4 linked regions of the Sus scrofa genome follow. The protein of the gene in region 4 interacts with the protein of the main gene of each other region in a pairwise test. Links are inferred from orthologs where the notes say so. Each region holds a gene or a part of one and is shown on either strand. Other genes may lie near its edges.

Region 1 (3,959 bases), on a different chromosome or scaffold from region 4:
TCTTCTGAGAAATAGATTTCTTTTAGCTGAACCTCTATAATCATGACAAGAGATTGATTAAAATGCCAAGATAAGAAACAATTTATTATAGAGAGAAGAAAAATTTCTCATCCAAAATATAGAAATCTGTACAACTTTGCCACAATCAATATACATGAACTGTACAAATTTACACCAGTTCATAATTTACCAAATAAAAGATGACTAACAAAGTTCACAAAATAGATGGTGGTTTGTGGAAAAGACTTTTACCCAATTAAGTACAAGGAAAGTTACAAACCAGACCTCCACTTTCTAAAAATAAGAAGTTTACTCAGTCTTAGAAAACTACAAGCTAGCAAATGTACAGAGAGCTGGCTGGTGCTAACACCACAGTTGAGACAGTGTCTTTTTAAGGTCTTTTTTTAAAGCCTGTTGCCATGGCAGATTCTGGTCACTTGCTACTTTCAAGGCCAAAAACACAATACAAGGTCTGACCATTTCCCCAGGTCATGCTTACTAGTTTTGTCTTATGTACATTTATACATATTTAAGTGCTAGGTAAAAGTCTTGTTATAAAATTTCCAGTACTACCGCGTTTAAAATGTTGAGCTTTCCTATCGAGCTGCCAAAAAGGATAACAATTTAAGTGTAATAGTGCAAATTTCCTCTGCCAAGTTCTACCGCAGAGAAAGGTTCTTTGAAATATGGATTTGTGTTAAAGGGACTGATGTAAAAATTTAGGTATCATGTCCGGGAGAAAATGAAACCACCCCAGGACTTCACTCCCTAGCAAATAAGGTGATCAATTTACTTGGACTCACAGGCTATTAAGTCATTGAAAGGTACTGTCCAAACTATGGCACTGTCACTTAAAAAAATTTTTTTACCACTCTATCTTGTGCCAGATCTTCACAGCTGTGACATGGTTTAAATTCCATAATCCATCCCCAAGAGGAGCCCACCCAAAGCAAAAATCAAATTTATCCATCCATTATAAGAGGATCCATCCATAGACTATATCTTAACCTGATACAGTCATCATATTGTAGCTTTTGGAAGGGCTTGTTCTGCCCAAGAGAAGTTCCTCCTTACAGCTGATTCTGCTGTCTACCATTTGCACGTTGGTGCTGTTTTGGGTGCTACCTCCTGCTGGTGAGGCTTCGTACAGCACACAGATGGAACCATCCTCTCCAATTCTGTAGGACACTTCGTAAGGGTCAACCCAGAGAGTGAGTTCACTTGGGAGAAGCCTGAACAGCTCCTGACTGCTCAGTCCAATCCGCTGTGCTGCCTGTCCAATCAGAGGATCCATTTTATGGTTGATGCGAATACAACGGTAACCTGATCCTTTGCACGGCTTTTCTGGGAACCAGTGGTGTTTATAATGTTCTATAGAAGAAAAAAAACAGAAACAGCGCTTAGATATCGTTACTGCTGGCTCCCGCTGTAGTTTCTTTCTTCGGCTGGCTTCGTTGAGGGAAAATGCAAACTAGCAACTTTCTTTAAAAAAAAAAACAAAAAAAAAAACCCAGCATTGAATCCGCGGCTGTCCATGTAAGGCGATGGGGAATGAGCGGGCAGGGTTTGAGAAATAACAGTAGTACACCGTACAGAACAATCTCCGGGAACCAACCGGTTGAGTTGCCAAAACGGCAATCCGGCGGGCAGCCTCCGCCAGCCGGGCAGCGGGGTGGCACCGGTGGCCAGGCGGGAACCTGTTTACTTTCTCCACCCCACCCCAGCCGCACACACAATGGGGTTTATGGCTTCGAAGAGGAGCGCCACTGGACTGTTCGCCCCGAAGGGAATGGAACAAGCCATCCTAAACCACGCTCTGGGCAGGGCAGTAATTGTACCGGTGACAAATCCGATGATTAATGGACAGGGGTAGGAGGCGCGGAGAGACTGCACGTCCGGCCCGGGCTGGCTCCCTGGCAGCGGCGCGCCTTCCCATCCCGTGGCCCGGCCGTCGGGCCCGCAACGGTTAGACGGGATGGGGGGGAGGGGGCGTCGAATCCACCCTAGCCCGGCGGCTCCTTTGTCCCCCAAATGCGCGGACCGTCCGAGGACGGCGGCTCCCGCCTCGGTCGGCTTCAGTTTCTTTGTTGTGCGTCTGTTTTCCTGTCCCCTTGGTCTGCCAGCCGTGGGGGGAGGGGGCGCCCTTGGCCCACCCCCAAACCCTGTCCCGGACCCGCCGTTAGCGGCAGCCGGGCGCGCCAGTCACGGTCCCGCTGCCGGAACCGAGCGCGACCTGCCCACAGTGCCGCCAAGACTCCCGCGTCCCCGACGGCCCGGCCCAGAGATGTGCCACCGCGTCCCTCGGCGCCCCCCGCCCTGCCGCCGCCCGCTCACCTGCCAGCAGCTCCTGCAGGCTCTGGCTGAAGGTCTGCAGCTGTCGCTCGCTCGTGAGCCCCTTGGTGCGGAGAAACTTGGAGATGAAGGACACGGCGGCGGCGATCTCGCCTATCATGGTGGCGGCCCGGGTGTAGAAGGGATGCATGGGGGCGGCAGGCGGGGGCGGCCCGGGGCGGCCGGGGCTCGGCGGTGCGGCCCCGACGGCGGAGCGGCCACCCCGGGCTCCCTCACAGGTCAGTGGGCTGAGAGGGGGAGAGAGCGTGAGCGGTGGACGGCTACTTTTTTCTCCTCCCTTCTTTATAGTAAAAAGTTATTTTCGAGACAGGAGGCGGCAGGAGAAAGGAAGAGACGAGCGACGGCGGCCTGGTCACATCGCTCGGACCGCCCCGGCCGCCTCCGCCTCCAGCTCCGCAGCCTCCGAAGCTCCAAACACTTGCATTTCCAGCTCAGACGGGCAAAGAGATGCAGCGGCCGTGCGGCACTTTTTATAGCGCAGAGAAAAGGAAGTGGCGTAGCTGGAGCGTGACGGACGACTCCAGCCAATCCGGAGATCGCACCATTGTGATGCAAGCAGATTCTGAGCCGAAGGGGGCGGGAAAAGGGGCCAGGGGGCGTGCCCAGAGACCGGGAGGAGAGGGAGGAGCTGACGTAATCCGCTTGTAAACAAATAAACCCCCGAGTGGCGGCCCAGCGGGGGGGAAAACGGGATGGAGGAAACAGAGGGTGCGCGTGTGAAAGCCCCGCCCCTAGCCCTAACTCCTCCTTCCTGCTCCAACAACTCCTGGAGCTGCGCCAGCGCATCCTCTGCAAGCGTTCGCTGCCTGGGCTCGCCTCGAGGAGACAGAGCTGTGCAGATAAAAGCAGCCCCGCTCAGGCTGTCTACACGCGCGCCTGCGGCACGGATCTGGCCTCAAGGCACCTGCCGGCTCGCGTACTCGGTGTTTACAACCCGTCACCACGCTGAGTCTACGTGCCTGGCTCCACAGGAAGGAAGAGCATACAGAGCAGCGGGATGCGGGTACCCGTGCTGAGGAAGCTGGGAGTGCGGGGAAAAGTGGAGGGAACCGGCTCTCGCGGGGCATCCTGCAGCTTTCGGAACCCAGTTCTCACAAACATGCAGCCAACGCCTCGGAGCCGTTTCCCTTCCACCCTTGCGGAGGGTTGGGGCATGTCTTTGTCAAAGTTTAATTGCAAAATAAATAAAGGTTAGTAAGCCTTTTGTGGTTGCTGTTTCAGTAACTTGAGGAGTCAGAGAAAAGTGGAGACCTTACTGACCAGCTTAAAACTGATAAGAAAGGCTGCTATTGAATATAAATGTAATTATAACAAGTTTAGTAAAAGAAAAGAAACCTATATAATGCATTTTACATCTTTTTTGCACAAAACAGAAGGTTGTTTCCTTTTTTTCCTAATCCACTGAACTGTTTGAGCCTTAGAGTTCTGTTGCTCTTTATAAAAACAAGAAAATAAAGATAAAATTTGCTCAGATATTTGTTTAGTTAAGCCCTACTTGCTGAACTAGGAAAAAATAGGAAGGCGTGAACTTGCTAAAACGATTAGGCCTAAGAGAGGGTTAACCAGAACTCCATTAAGGAGGAGAAAAAAAAGATGGTGAGCCGGCC
Region 2 (4,279 bases), on a different chromosome or scaffold from region 4:
CAGCAGTGAGAAGGGGCCACAGGTGTCACTGACACCTTGCCTTATACATAAGGGAACCGAGGCTCCCAGAACCTTGATGCCACATAAGCTCACTGGAAGGGGCCACAAGAAACCAGTACTTATTTGTCTCTGGGCAAGGGAGCCAGGGAGGCAGGGAGCTGGAGCTGGGAGGACTCACCTGTCCCCTCTGGAATCTTGAGGTTCTTTTTTTTTTTACCATGAGTGTGAATGACCTAAACGATGACAAAAACTAAAGTCTCCACAGAACTTATTCCATCCGTGTGCTGTCCTGAGAGTGTTAACACACATTAAATACAAAAGGTGATCCTCACAACAACCCTATGGGGTAGATACTGTGAAGATTCCCTGCTGGGGAAATGAAGGCACAGAGCAATCCAAACTCACTGGGAGGGCTCCCACTGTGGCACGAGACAGGTGGCATCTTGGGAGCACTGTGACTCTGGTTCAATCCCCGACCTGGCACAGTGGGTCAAGGATCTGCCAGTGCCACAGCTGCAGCTTTGGTCACGACTGCGACTCAAATCTGATCTCTGGCCTGGGAACGTCACATGCCATGGGGTGGCCAAAAATGAAAAAAAAAAAAGAAAAGAAAAAGAAAAAACAACTTGCCAGGCAGTAAGTCTGTGATTCTGAAGGAGCCAGGATCTGAACCCAGGTGGGCAGGCCTGCGCTCAGAAGCACTCCAGGCTATTTGTTCTAGAATCCCCTCTTTCCCTCTGGAATGCTTACTCACTTCCTATGATTGACTCGTGGAGGTGGGGGTCTTGCTCCCCCTAGAGTAAAGCACCAGTGTCCTGTGGCAGGGCTGGGATAAGAACCTAGGCTTGCCTGCCACTGAACTTGGTGCTGCTGGAGACACCAGGCTCTCTACCTCCGACCCTCTCCACCGCTGCCCAGGAACTCTCAGTAGCAGGCCAGGAAAGAGTTTTGGCCAGGAGGGAGAAGGGCGTGGTGAGAGGAAGACGAGGTAGGAGAGGGGGCACTAGCCTGCCGCCCAGCAGGACCAGAACATCCACCACACAGTGGCATAGATTGACTATGTGACAGTAATCCATGTTCCTGAGGATAGTCTTCAGAGCTTTGCAGAGATCTTAAATATTTCATGATAAAATGTTACACATGGCAAGAAAGAGAGAAGTGCTAGAACTTTCTTCTTACACTCCAGCGGCTTGCCCAGCAGGGACACTACCCAGGAGACTGCTGCTTTAAGGAATGGGTTGGAACTAGCACTGGGTAGCAGATGTAGGGACTCATGCTGTGTCTTGGCAGGAAGGGGAAGAGCCCTTCTAGGAGTTTCTAGAAAAAGGACTGGGAGCTGATACACGGAAAAATGGGGTGAGGAATTCCTAACTGGAAGGTTCTGAGAGGTATATGCCCTGAGTTTCAAAGTCTCATAGGCACAGGAATGTGGGTGCCGGAGCTCTGATTTTGGGGAGCAGGAGGCTAGAACATTACATCTTAGGAGGGCTATTTTGCTGGCCTGTGAACACTGCTGGGTGGGAGAAGGGCAAGAGAACAGACTTTGGGATCCTGGAGTCTGGATTTGGGGAATAAGTAAAAGTAGGGCAATGAATCTGGAATCAGACTGGGAGGGTTTCTGGTAAAAGCAGGGTCACTCTGGGTGTCTGAGATCAGCAGTCCATGCTAGGGTCAGAAGGAAGAAGGGGTGGGTTTGGGTCCTGGACTTGCATTTGAATGAGGCTTTCCAAAGCTGACTCCTACAGGAAGCCTGTCTTGGGTGGGGGGGAGAGTTTGGTGACTGGGTCTGCAGTACCAAGCAGGGGCAGGGGCTCTAGCTGGGGGGAAGCCACGTGGGTAGGATTTCCTGACATAATGGGAAACTGGGTCTACAGTATGTGAGGCTGAAGGAGAGTGGCCGGAATTGGAAGCTCCATCAAGGGTAGAGCTGGTGGTTCAATCTGAAAGGGAACTAGGTTTCAAAATGCCAGTCCTAGATGGGACTAAGGATACTGATGGGCACTGGTTTAAGTTCCAGGAAAGGGGTCCTGGGTGTGGGCTGGAGTCCCACGCCAGGAACAGAAATCTCAAGGAAGGACAGAATTCCTTGTTGTATTTAGAGGATTTCTGGATCTAAACGGGAATCACCACTGGGACCCAGAAAGGCCGATCGAAGAACAGACTTACAACTTAAAGTACTGGGAACTCTAGGGATTGGGAGGGGCCCATGGGATGTCCAAGATCACAAGGGGGTACTTGAATAGGATCAGGGTCAAGATTCTGAGGTAAGATTCGGAGCGTAAATGGAAGGTCCCAAACGGAACTGGGGGGGAAGCCCAAAGCTTGTCTTGGTAGTTAAACTCTGAAGAAGGTGCCCTAGGGGTGAACTGGGAGTTCCAAGAAGAAATCGGCAGGGGGAGGCTCGGATAGCAGGCAAGGGACTCAAGGGTCCCGGAAGTTCTGGGATCCCGGAGTTGAATCGAAGAACCCTGGGCGCTACTGAAAGTCCAGACTGTAGGGTGGGAATCTCAGGTGTCCATGGCCGGGTTCCTAGCAGTATCTGAAGTCAGAACTCTGAAGCAGAGACCCGGGAGTGGGGGAAGGGGCTGGCCGCGCGCGCTCTACCTGGTGCCTCCAGCGGAAGAGGCTGGCAGTGTCGATATTGGGGTGCGTCTCGTCTTCATCGTCAGACACCTCGATGTGATCCCACACGCTGTAGTCCACCATCTTGCCTTGGCGGCCCAGCCAGCTCCGACTCTGGCGGCGGTAGCGGCAGCACGGAGACTCGGACCGCCGAGCCCCGCCCCTTCCGCTTCCGTCTGGGCGCGCACGCCCCCGCCCGCACGTGACGTCACATCCTTAGTAACCCTGGCAGCGGCCCTGGCGACCGAGTTCTTAAAGAGCCCTGCGCACGTGTCCCAACTCCTGGGATTCTCCCTCAAACCTCATCCCATCCTGCTTCGGGCACTTCCTGGGGGGTATATGAGTGGGTTCTCCAACCTCGAGCCCCGCTAATCTCCTGCCGCCGCATAGTGGGCCTTTACGGCGGCCGTAAGTGAGCAGTTGGCGAGCCTGAGGGAGAGGATTGTCCTCTTAGCCACGCTGCAGTGACGTCAGCCCTAGCCCACTGCTGGGTTCCTTGTGAAGGGGGATTTAGCTGTGTTGGGGAGGTTGTCTGATATGGAAGGACCTTCCCAGTCCGAGGGGTACAGGACCCTGTCCTGGGAGGGTCTAAGTGAAGGAAGGATATGGCCCTGCCCTTGAGGGGTTGGAGGTGATGGGAGTGCTGTGGCTCTGCCTTGGGGCCTGGTGTTTCCCCGGCTCGAACCACAGCCTCCTCCTCGCTTCTGCCACTCCTGAACGGGGATTCGCGCGCCCCCCTTCGGAATCACCCAGACTTCATTTAACTAGTCTCGGGAGCCGATCCACAGCGTCTCCCCGTGCGGCCGCTGGGTGGCACCAATGTCTAACTAGCGGCCAGTGCTTCTGGCCTCACACCAAGTGGGGAATCTTTCCCGGTGGTAGTGCTCTAGGACCGCTAGCAGGCCTTCCCCTTTCGTCTGGGGCCCCTTTTCTGGTCCTGGGCTCTAAGGACTCTTACATTGAGCTTGAGCGACCCCAGCCACACACTTTCATATATCCCTACCCACGCTTTGATACCAGGATAAAAGGCCGCGTTGCAGCCTAGGGCCGGGATTATCTCAGATTAAAGGATGCTCCGATGGCGTGGGGGATGGGAGAAGCTTCAACCACTTGCGTGAAGGGCGCCTCTTCCAGACTCCCCCAGAGTGGGCGTTTGGAGGGAAAAGGCTGGAGAGAAAGGAGTAAAGGTCTCTAAATGGGGGCGCAGGGGGGATGGGAGGGGATTCCCCAGTCGGGGGAAGGGGAGGGGACACGTCCTGACAAAGCTCCTGCCCGCTGCCTCCCCTCCCCCTCACGCTTCATTCAAACCGGCAAGGAGGCGGGCGGGGGCGGGGGAGTCCCCCTCTCCTCCTCCTCCCTCTCCAGCCCCGGCAGTCCAGCATCTCAGCAGCCGTCACGGCCTGGGCTCGCGCGCGCACGGACCCACACCTCAGGTCTGACAATCGCGCGTGCGCGCGCGCGCACACACACACACACACACACACACACACACACACCAGCAAACAACAAAGGGTCTGGACACCCCTGTCCCCTCCCGCCCCCCAGGCCGGAGAGGGCGGGGCATCCCCTCCCCAGTCCCCCTGCAAGGTAAGATTTGGGCTAAAAGCTGCGGTGGGGAGGGGAACCTGGCGCCCAAGAGGGAGGGGGCTAAGACGGA
Region 3 (4,034 bases), about 27 Mb from region 4:
AAAACAAAAAACACAACTTGACATTAATTTTTGTTCTAAAATTAGTTTGCTACTCCCATTCACAGATTTAAAAGAAAAAATGACCAGGTTTAAAAGCTAAATGATTGTTTTAAGTCCACATAAAATAAAAAGTGAGCTAGAGTTAAGGCTGCTTCTTTAAAAAAAAAAAGTCATGAGTATATACTGAATTTTTTGTATCAGTAAAATAAAACTGAAAAACGTATTTGAGAACAGACAACTAATGTCTTCCACATAGTTTCAACAAACATTACCTAATGAGAATAAACTTAGGTCAGATGTCTCAGATTAACCTACCCAAATCATTCTGGGTGTTCAACCTGTATGTAATGCTGAAATGGACCAACACCCTGACAGAGAGATTAAATAATAAAACCAAAACAAGGCCAGTCTCTATACTGCCTCCTCAAAAGGGAATTAAAGTGCATTTGTCCGTGGTGAAATTATAATGTGATGAATAAGCAGAATAAAGACACTGCAACAAATACTGAAATTAAGGACATGAAGGTGGATCTCAAAGGAAAAGCCTACTTGATGAAACTCAAAATACCAGCTATAAAGAAAATACAAGTTTCCTGAAAAGCAGTAAAACTCATACATAAGGTAACCACACTTCCAGACTGCTTATCAAAACACTATGCAAATGCACACCAAGTGCATTCTTCTTAATTAAAACAACTTCATTTCAAAGTCCACTGATATTTAGTTGAAGTTAATGAAAAAGGGAAGAAGAGACTGAGTAGGAAGAGAGGAAAATGCAGAAAGGGTCCCTCTGAAAATGAGATAAATATCATGACTTATTATGATTACAAAACATCATTAAGACTTAGTAACCCAATAATGTCTATACAGATGCAGACTCCACGGTTAAATTCTGGGTAGATAAATGTCTCTCAAGACAAGCCCCAAATTCTGATGGACTGGCAAAAACATTCAAAACTGGCACACTTTTGATCAAGAAGCTACTTACAGTGTAAGATAAATCGTTTACTGATTAATACAACCTACTTCTACAAAGATGCATCCTAAAGTCCAAAATCTCTTTATGAACATACAGTTGTTCCCCCCCCATACGAGCATAAGATCATCAGAACTCAAAAGTTCTCGGTAACACAAACCCTTGCAGTATTGCATCTGAGAATTCTATTAGTCACGGAAAGAAAGCAAATTTTTAACAGAAAAGTTCAATAAACATCTGTTAAGGTGGTATTTTTTCTTTTAAGTATGTGTAAAGCAAAAAGACAAGTTGTGTATTAATCGCAAGACAAATATTTATGTCTACCATTCACTGCAAAGGCTCTCTACAAGGTGATTCTGAAACTGGTTGAAAATTTCAAAAAGTCTGTAACCTTAAAAAAAAAAAAAAAAAAAAAAAAAAAAAGTACAGCTATTAGAGTCCAGAAAATAAAACCTTTCATGTCAAGGAAAACCTCTCTCCAAGCCAAATACAATGTGCTCATTTTTAAAAAGATTTTTATGTCATTATGAGACCATTTAAAACTCTTGTTTTGTGTCAATACAATGCCACACAGCCAAACCATATTTCTGGATGCAGCAAATATACTAATGTGACTAAAGTCATTTGATCTACACTGTTTTGCAAAAAGTAGAAATTTAAATAAGGGCTGCTGGGACATTGGGGAAGTCTGACACTAGCCTCTCCCTGACTTTTTCTGAACATCTCGTGAAAACTCTTCACATTTAAGAGACTGGCTTTTAAAGAACCAACGAAATGAAAACTAACGGTTAACTCGGCTTAGGAGTGTCAAGCCCTTATCCTACGACTGACTCATGAGACATAAATTCAGCCTCCAGAGGACAGCAAAAATCTCAAACAGGTAGCGTAAAAGGACTGAACCCTTCAAGAACCCCAGGGCTTCAAGTTTTAAATTCTGGCAATACGGCTTCTACCATAGAAAAAAAAGAATCGCCTTTCCAATTTAGTGCGCCTGTGACATTCCTGGAATTATGTATCTCAGACGCCGCTCGAAGCCTAAGTTTCATGGCCTCTAATAGTCATTTTTTCCTTCAAATCTCGACTCGCAGCATGCAGAATGGGGGAGGGGAAGGAGGCTTTCTACACATACCCGCCTTTCGGCCTCTGCTTCGCACAAAAGTTTTCTCCCGGCTCAGGTCACTCGGGGTTTGCATCCCGCCCTCTGCCCACCCACCCCCACTCATGCCTGTCCCAAGCATCAACACATCCCACTCATAGCTAGGCCGACTGAGACAGGAGCTTGGAGGCTCCGACGGGGAAAGGCGATGGTGCCGTGGACGCCTCAGGCCGCTGGTCCGGCCCGGCCCAACCCGGCCGCGAGGAGCGACAGGCGGAGGCGGGAAAAGCGCGACCGACCCGGCAGGCCGCGCGAAGGGCGCCCGGTGGGCCGGACCGAGGGCTAGGGGTTGGAGGGGCGGGGGGAGGATGAGCGAGGGTGAGGAGGCGCCTCAGCGGGGCTAGGCCCTCAGCGGTGCGGCGGGAGAGGCCAAAGCCGCCCCCAGCCCATCCCCACCCCCACCCCGGGGCCTCGGAGAAAACCAAACGGGACGCGGTGCGGAGCCCCGGCCAGGCCCACTAGGGTCGGATCGGGGCTCCCGGCCCCTCCCCCCGCGGGCCGGCGCGAGACTCACCAGGACAGATCTGGGGCCGGCGGCCGGGCCCGTGAGAATCAGCGCGAGGCGCTTTGAAAACGACTAGAAATGGCGCGCGCGCCACCCCCTCCCCCCCTCATGGACCGAGACGCGATCCCGGCAGCACGCGGGGTTTCCCGGAACTGCTTCCAGGGACTCGGAGCGGCCGGGCAATCACCTCGCGCGGCAGCCTAAGGGACAGCTCAGAGGACCAATAGTAGTGAGAAGAGGCTCACTACTCCGGACGCTCGGGAGCCAATCGATGAAGCCGTAGGCTGAGCCAATGAGGGAACTCAGCGCCGCCGGCTGGGGCGCCTCCGGGGCGGGGGTAGGAACACAAAGGGGTCTATCGTGAAGCCCCGGGTGGAGGCGAGGCTGCGGGGCACCGGGCCCAGGGTGGCCGAGGCCCCGCCCTCCTCGTCTGCTGCAGACGCGAAGCCGAAAAAGTAGGCCTCGCGCCGCGTGGCCGCCTCCGGAATCCCGCCCCCTGCCGTCCGCGCCGGCCCTGGCGGGCCGCGGCCTTCCCGCCGCTTCGCCGCTGCCGCAGCGCTGGTGATTCCCCCGCGTGCCGCCGCCGCGGCCGCCGCGGGCGTTCGCCCCAGACACGCCCACCGCCACGCGGTCCGGCCTTCCTCTAGGTCGTCTTTGGGACTTTAATTAGAGCACGATCTAAGGATTTGGCTCGCCCGTTTTTTTCCGAGAATCTTTTCGTGTAGAAAATCATCCCTTGGAACGCTCAGAAAACGGCTTCCTCGGCTGCCTTCCACACATCCTTGGGAGCAGATCAGAATGTGGGAGAAATCGCTAAAGTGGGCATTACTCAGAAGCAGTTAAGTACAAATGACAGAGCAGGGACCTTTCTTCGCGGGGTTTGACGCTAATTAATATTCAGAAAGCAGGACAGACGTATACATCACGAACCCCAAAGAGCCGTGCCAGGAAAAGAGCTAATTCCCAAAGGAGACTAATTTCCGTTATTCTGAAACATTTCTCACCCTCCACACCTACTGGTTTGTTCCTCGTCCTCGCCTTAATCCAAACCTCTAATCCCACATCCCTTCCTTCCCTACCTCAACTTCCAACACCCCACCCTTCCCCTCCGCGCCGGAGTGGAGGAAGTCAAGCAGTGTTCCGCAAGACTTCCATATACACTTCGAGGACCATTAGATTTTCCAGAAGCTATCAACCAAAAATTATTTACTCAAAACCTATGTGCCCAGTACTGAGCTAAACATCACGGTGGATCCAACTTTTGTGTTGAGGGGTGTGAGACTTATACAAATGATGGGATCCTTAAAAATATCTTAAATGATGAGTACAAATTTAGAAGTGTCTTGGAAGAGCATGGTAAAGGGACTTTGAAGCTTAAACTTTATTAGCTTCAGATA
Region 4 (4,290 bases):
CCCTACTTCTCCCTGGAGGAGAGAACCACCCCCAGACGGTCCCACGGCAAGCCTACAGACCCCGCTCGCCACCGTGCCTCTCCCAGGAACCCCCAAACCGAACAAGCCCTTTTGCCTTTCCAGGACCCCCCAGAGCACCATCCAGTAGAGTCCCCCAATACCTCAGCCAGGCCTACCATCTCTCCAGTCTCTCTGCCCCCGTCTCTAGCTCAGCCCACAGCAGGGGAGGGGAGGGAAGGCAGAACCCGGGCAGACACCGGTAAGGACAGAGGAGGGCTGGAAATGGAGTTAAGGAAGTAGCCGCAGTGTTCGGGGGAGGCCAGATGGGGGCCACAAACCTGGAGGGAGTTTGGGCTAAGTGTTTCGGGGGCACAGGGTAAACTGGTTTGAAGCAAGAGGGCTCAGAGTTGGGCCAGTAGGAAGGGCCTGATGTGTGATGAGGTATGTTTATGTGGGGAAGGGGCTCACGAAAGGATATTTACTTCTTCAAGAGGCGGCTGGAGGCTCATCCCATTAGCCAAGGTGGCTACAAAATTCTAGGAGAGAGTAACAGGGAGAAAGGATTAGCTACTGGGAGAGACTAGGGGAGGGCCAGGCCAGGGGACCCGGGCTCTTGGAGAAGGGGGTGTTTCCTACAATTTGGCTTTGCTTTGTGGGGAGTGTGGGAGAGGGAGTGAGCAAAGAGGGAACACTGTTCTTGAAAGGGGTGGGAGAGACAGAGGAAGAGAGGAGGGGGTTCTGTCCCTGCTGAGGCTGGAGAGATGGTGGCCTGCCCCCACGCAGCCCCTCTCGGTCGGGCAAGGCACCTGACCGTGCGCACCTCCCCCATCCAGGCCAGAGGAACTGGCACCCACTGGGCACACAGGCACTGCCAGCTGTCACTCCCCCTCATCATCTAATCCCCCCAGATTAGGTGACACTTCCTGACACACACCCGCATCCTGGGTGCCCTAAGTAGCTGGGGGAGGGGGGCTGGCAGGGTGTACCCACTGGGCATCTGCCACCACTGCAAACCAGTCTCTTGTCTGAGAGGATTCCAGAAAGGAGGTGTGGCACAAGGCACCCCCTCGAGAGCTGGCAGCCCGGCCCCTGGCTGCTGCCTTGGACTCAGCCAAGTCCCAAACAAAGCCAGTTAGAGCCAGTCGCCCTGATTATTACCCTCTGCCGGGGGAGGCCAGACCCAGGACCCTCAGCCCATCTGCCCACATTCAAACAACCGCCGCGGCAGGCCCTGAAACTCCCCAGGTGCGGGGCCAAGTCCTGGGGCAACCTCTGGGGAAGCGCTTTCCTCCACCCACACGGGCCCTGGCCCAGGAGAGAGCCGAGGGGGGCAGGAGTCATTGGAGTGACCCCTGGGAGCTCCCCTCCATTCCAGAGAGGGCTACAAGGTACCGGGCCAGAGTACAGAGGCCCCGCCGGATCGCATCTCTTCCAGATGTACCCACCCGTCAGGCTCCGAGAAGCGTGAAACCACAGACAGAAGCCCCCTGGGCTCCAAGCCCCACCTCCATTCTCCCAAACCCGTGAACACGCGGAAAAAGGAGGGCGGCCTGTGCGGGGATTTCCCGCTGGGTCCTACTTCTCAGCACCGACACCTCCGCCAGGCAGGCCCCCGGAGGGCCTGAAACTCAGCACCGGAACCAGCCTCACACGCCTGCACGAGAACCAAACCTCACGGAACACCGTTTAAGGCATCCACGCTCCGGACCCTCACACAGGGCTTCAGGAAGGGGGAGGTTTCACTCCCACCCTCACAAATGCCCTGGGGAGAGAAACGGAGCAACGTTCGCGGCCTCTAGTCCCTCAGATCCCCTTCCCAAGACAGACTCTCTCTCCCCTCGCCTGGAAGGCTCCAGCGGGGAGGTGGGCTTTGGGACACGCCCCATGAAAAAGAGGTCCCTCCCACACAGCAGAAATGGCCACAAGGGGGTGCACGACGCCTTTTCGGGAAGGACCTCCTTCTGCTAGATGCCCCCCCCCAACCAGAGGGAGGTCACAGGGGCATGCTCCACCCCCCCCCGCCAGCTCCCCAAGCCCCGGGCGGGGGAGAATCCATCGACAGGAAACTGGGGTGGGAGGGGGGCCCAGAGGGAACCAATTCGTCTTCCTCCAATCCCAATTCAAGAATGCACGAAACCTGGACCGATGCCTAAGCAGATGCCCCGCTCCCACAAAGGGTTTGTTCAGGGTCAAGATACATCGGCCCTCCCAAGAGACTCTTTACTTGGCGGAGCCCCTAAGTCAGTCCCACCCCGAGATGCTTGTCACGATCCCCGGGGAGGAGGGCAGGGGGCCTCAGAGGGAGGGTCGGAGCCTCCTCCCCGCCCCCCCTCAGGGCGCCCCTCCCCCGACCGGGGGCGGGGCCTTTGTCCCGCACGTGGAGGCCGCCCGGCCGGCGGGCACGGCACACCCCCTCCCCACCCACCGCGCTGCGGCCACGTGGGGACCAGGCCGGAAGCGCCCCCAGCCCTTCTCATCGTGGGAGGGGGCACGAGACCCTCGATTCTAGGGGGTGCCACAGGCGCTCGAAAGCTAGGGAACCCGCACCTCAAACGGCATCCCGGATCCGGAGCATGCGGCGCCCCCTCCGTACGACTAAAGGATTTCAACCCCAATCCGGCGACTCAGAGCCCCTTCCCCACGACGGAGGCATAAAACGCTGACCCTCAAACTGCCCCCCGCCCCCGACGGCGCTCCAGGCGCTCACCTCCATGATGCAGTTCGCGGCCTCGGCTGCCGCCATCTTCACCCGCACCTACTCCTCCTCCGGCCGCCGAGACCCCCCCCTTCTCCGCACTCCCCCGGGACCGCCTTATACCGGAGGGTCCACGGCCCGCCCACCGCGACCCCGCCAGGAGATCTCATTGGTAACGGAGGTGACCCGTCTGGGAATACCGCTTTGCAATTGGGCTAAAAAGACGCCCATCAAAATTGAGGAGACCGCCCAGTCTGGCGTCCAGAACCCCGCCCCTTTAGGTCGACCGGGATGGGAGGGACTGCCTGTCTATCGCAAGAAGTGCGACAGGTGATTGGGCAAAGTCAACAGGGAGTTCCCGCCCCTTTCCCCTCAGCACCGCCTTCAAGCTTCCCGGCGGACCCCGCGCCAAGCGGACATCTTGAAACAGAGCAGTCTATCACAAAAATGACCCGCCTCTTGATGGCTGCTATTGGTTTATCAGCTGTTGTGACGTCACGAAGCTTTTGGCCGGCCTCAAGGAGAACGTGACGATTGGCCCACGAAAAAGGAAGGCAGGGCTTTAGGCTCCAGCGATTGGCTCAATAGAACTGTCAGTCATCGCCCTTTTGATGGCTTCTCCCAGCCGGAGGGGCGGGCACTCAGGAGGAACGAAGGAGCTTGTGCCCATTTTCCTGAAGGAAAACTGACCCAACGAGAGGCCCAAAGAGAGGGAGTTCATGTCTGGGGTCCCGAAACAAATCAGGAATGGGGCTCGGGCGTCAAGGTATTTAACCCCTGGCCCGCTACTTAATTGTTCCATGTTTTTTAAACCCAGTGACCCCACTCAAGCCACTTTGCTTTTTGCCAAGTCCACCCCTGCAGGTAACACACGCCCCCTTTTTCTGTCCAACTCCTTTGTCAGTCAGGGCGCCCTTTAGCTGCCACCTCCTCCAGGGAGCCTTCCTAAACCTGCAGGAAAATTACGTACTGAATGAAGATGAGTGCCACTGGCAGAATATATGCATCACCCCAGAAAGTTCTTTCATGACCTTTTCTATTCAACATCTCCCCACCCAACCCCAGAAACCATCACTTTCTGTGTTGTCACCGTCACGCATCTTTTCCATGTCTAAAATTTCGTAAAAATGATAAAAACATTTTTGTAAAAATGTAATTACAGTATGTACACAAGTGTTTGTCTTCTTTTACTGAGCATAATGCTGTTGAGAATCATTCATGTCACACCTAGCAGTTGTCCAGTCCTTTTCATGGCTGAGGAGTAGTCCATTGAATCCATGGGTTACATTTTCCTCTTGATGGGTATGTGGGTATGTGGGTGGTTTCCAGGATAGGGCTGTTAGGAATAGAGTGGCTGTGAACCATCATGACCAAGGCTTTCTCTGGATCTATGTTTTCCCTTTTCCTGGGTAAACTGAGAACACAGCTGGGTCATATGCTAGGTGTATCTTTCTAAGAAACTGCCAAAGTTCCCCTCTGTATTGTAGCATGTTGCATTCCCATCCGTGACCCATGAACGTTCTGTGGGCTCCACATCCCCTCCAGCACTTCAAAAAATCAACCTGTAATTTTAAGAGTCTTGTAGGTATAAACCG

Evidence for each region.
Region 1: the proteins of PRMT1 (region 4) and BTG1 interact in a two-hybrid assay, tested with the Homo sapiens proteins (2 studies listed by BioGRID). The link is inferred for Sus scrofa from reciprocal best matches to the Homo sapiens genes PRMT1 and BTG1.
Region 2: the proteins of PRMT1 (region 4) and CDC37 interact in binary tests that used the Homo sapiens proteins (3 or more experiments, as listed by UniProt). The link is inferred for Sus scrofa from reciprocal best matches to the Homo sapiens genes PRMT1 and CDC37.
Region 3: the proteins of PRMT1 (region 4) and HNRNPR interact in binary tests that used the Homo sapiens proteins (3 or more experiments, as listed by UniProt). The link is inferred for Sus scrofa from reciprocal best matches to the Homo sapiens genes PRMT1 and HNRNPR.

Annotation. Positions count from the first base shown.
Region 1 is NC_010447.5:90,814,035-90,817,993, reverse strand, and holds BTG1 (protein BTG1), read right to left. Parts: upstream 2,801-3,959; 5' UTR 2,483-2,800; coding exon 2,335-2,482; intron 1,372-2,334; coding exon 1,004-1,371; 3' UTR 58-1,003; downstream 1-57. UniProt on the Homo sapiens protein: Anti-proliferative protein.
Region 2 is NC_010444.4:69,210,110-69,214,388, forward strand, and holds the start of CDC37 (hsp90 co-chaperone Cdc37), read right to left. Parts: upstream 2,801-4,279; 5' UTR 2,707-2,800; coding exon 2,605-2,706; intron 1-2,604. UniProt on the Homo sapiens protein: Co-chaperone that binds to numerous kinases and promotes their interaction with the Hsp90 complex, resulting in stabilization and promotion of their activity. Inhibits HSP90AA1 ATPase activity.
Region 3 is NC_010448.4:81,236,617-81,240,650, forward strand, and holds the start of HNRNPR (heterogeneous nuclear ribonucleoprotein R), read right to left. Parts: upstream 2,801-4,034; 5' UTR 2,647-2,800; intron 2,531-2,646; exon of another isoform or gene 2,106-2,530; intron 1-2,105. UniProt on the Homo sapiens protein: Component of ribonucleosomes, which are complexes of at least 20 other different heterogeneous nuclear ribonucleoproteins (hnRNP). hnRNP play an important role in processing of precursor mRNA in the nucleus.
Region 4 is NC_010448.4:54,717,410-54,721,699, reverse strand, and holds the start of PRMT1 (protein arginine N-methyltransferase 1), read right to left. Parts: upstream 2,801-4,290; 5' UTR 2,744-2,800; coding exon 2,708-2,743; intron 1,802-2,707; exon of another isoform or gene 1,446-1,801; intron 537-1,445; coding exon 483-536; exon of another isoform or gene 180-482; coding exon of another isoform or gene 177-179; intron 1-176. UniProt on the Homo sapiens protein: Arginine methyltransferase that methylates (mono and asymmetric dimethylation) the guanidino nitrogens of arginyl residues present in proteins such as ESR1, histone H2, H3 and H4, FMR1, ILF3, HNRNPA1, HNRNPD, NFATC2IP, SUPT5H, TAF15, EWS, HABP4, SERBP1, RBM15, FOXO1, CHTOP, MAP3K5/ASK1, MICU1 and NPRL2.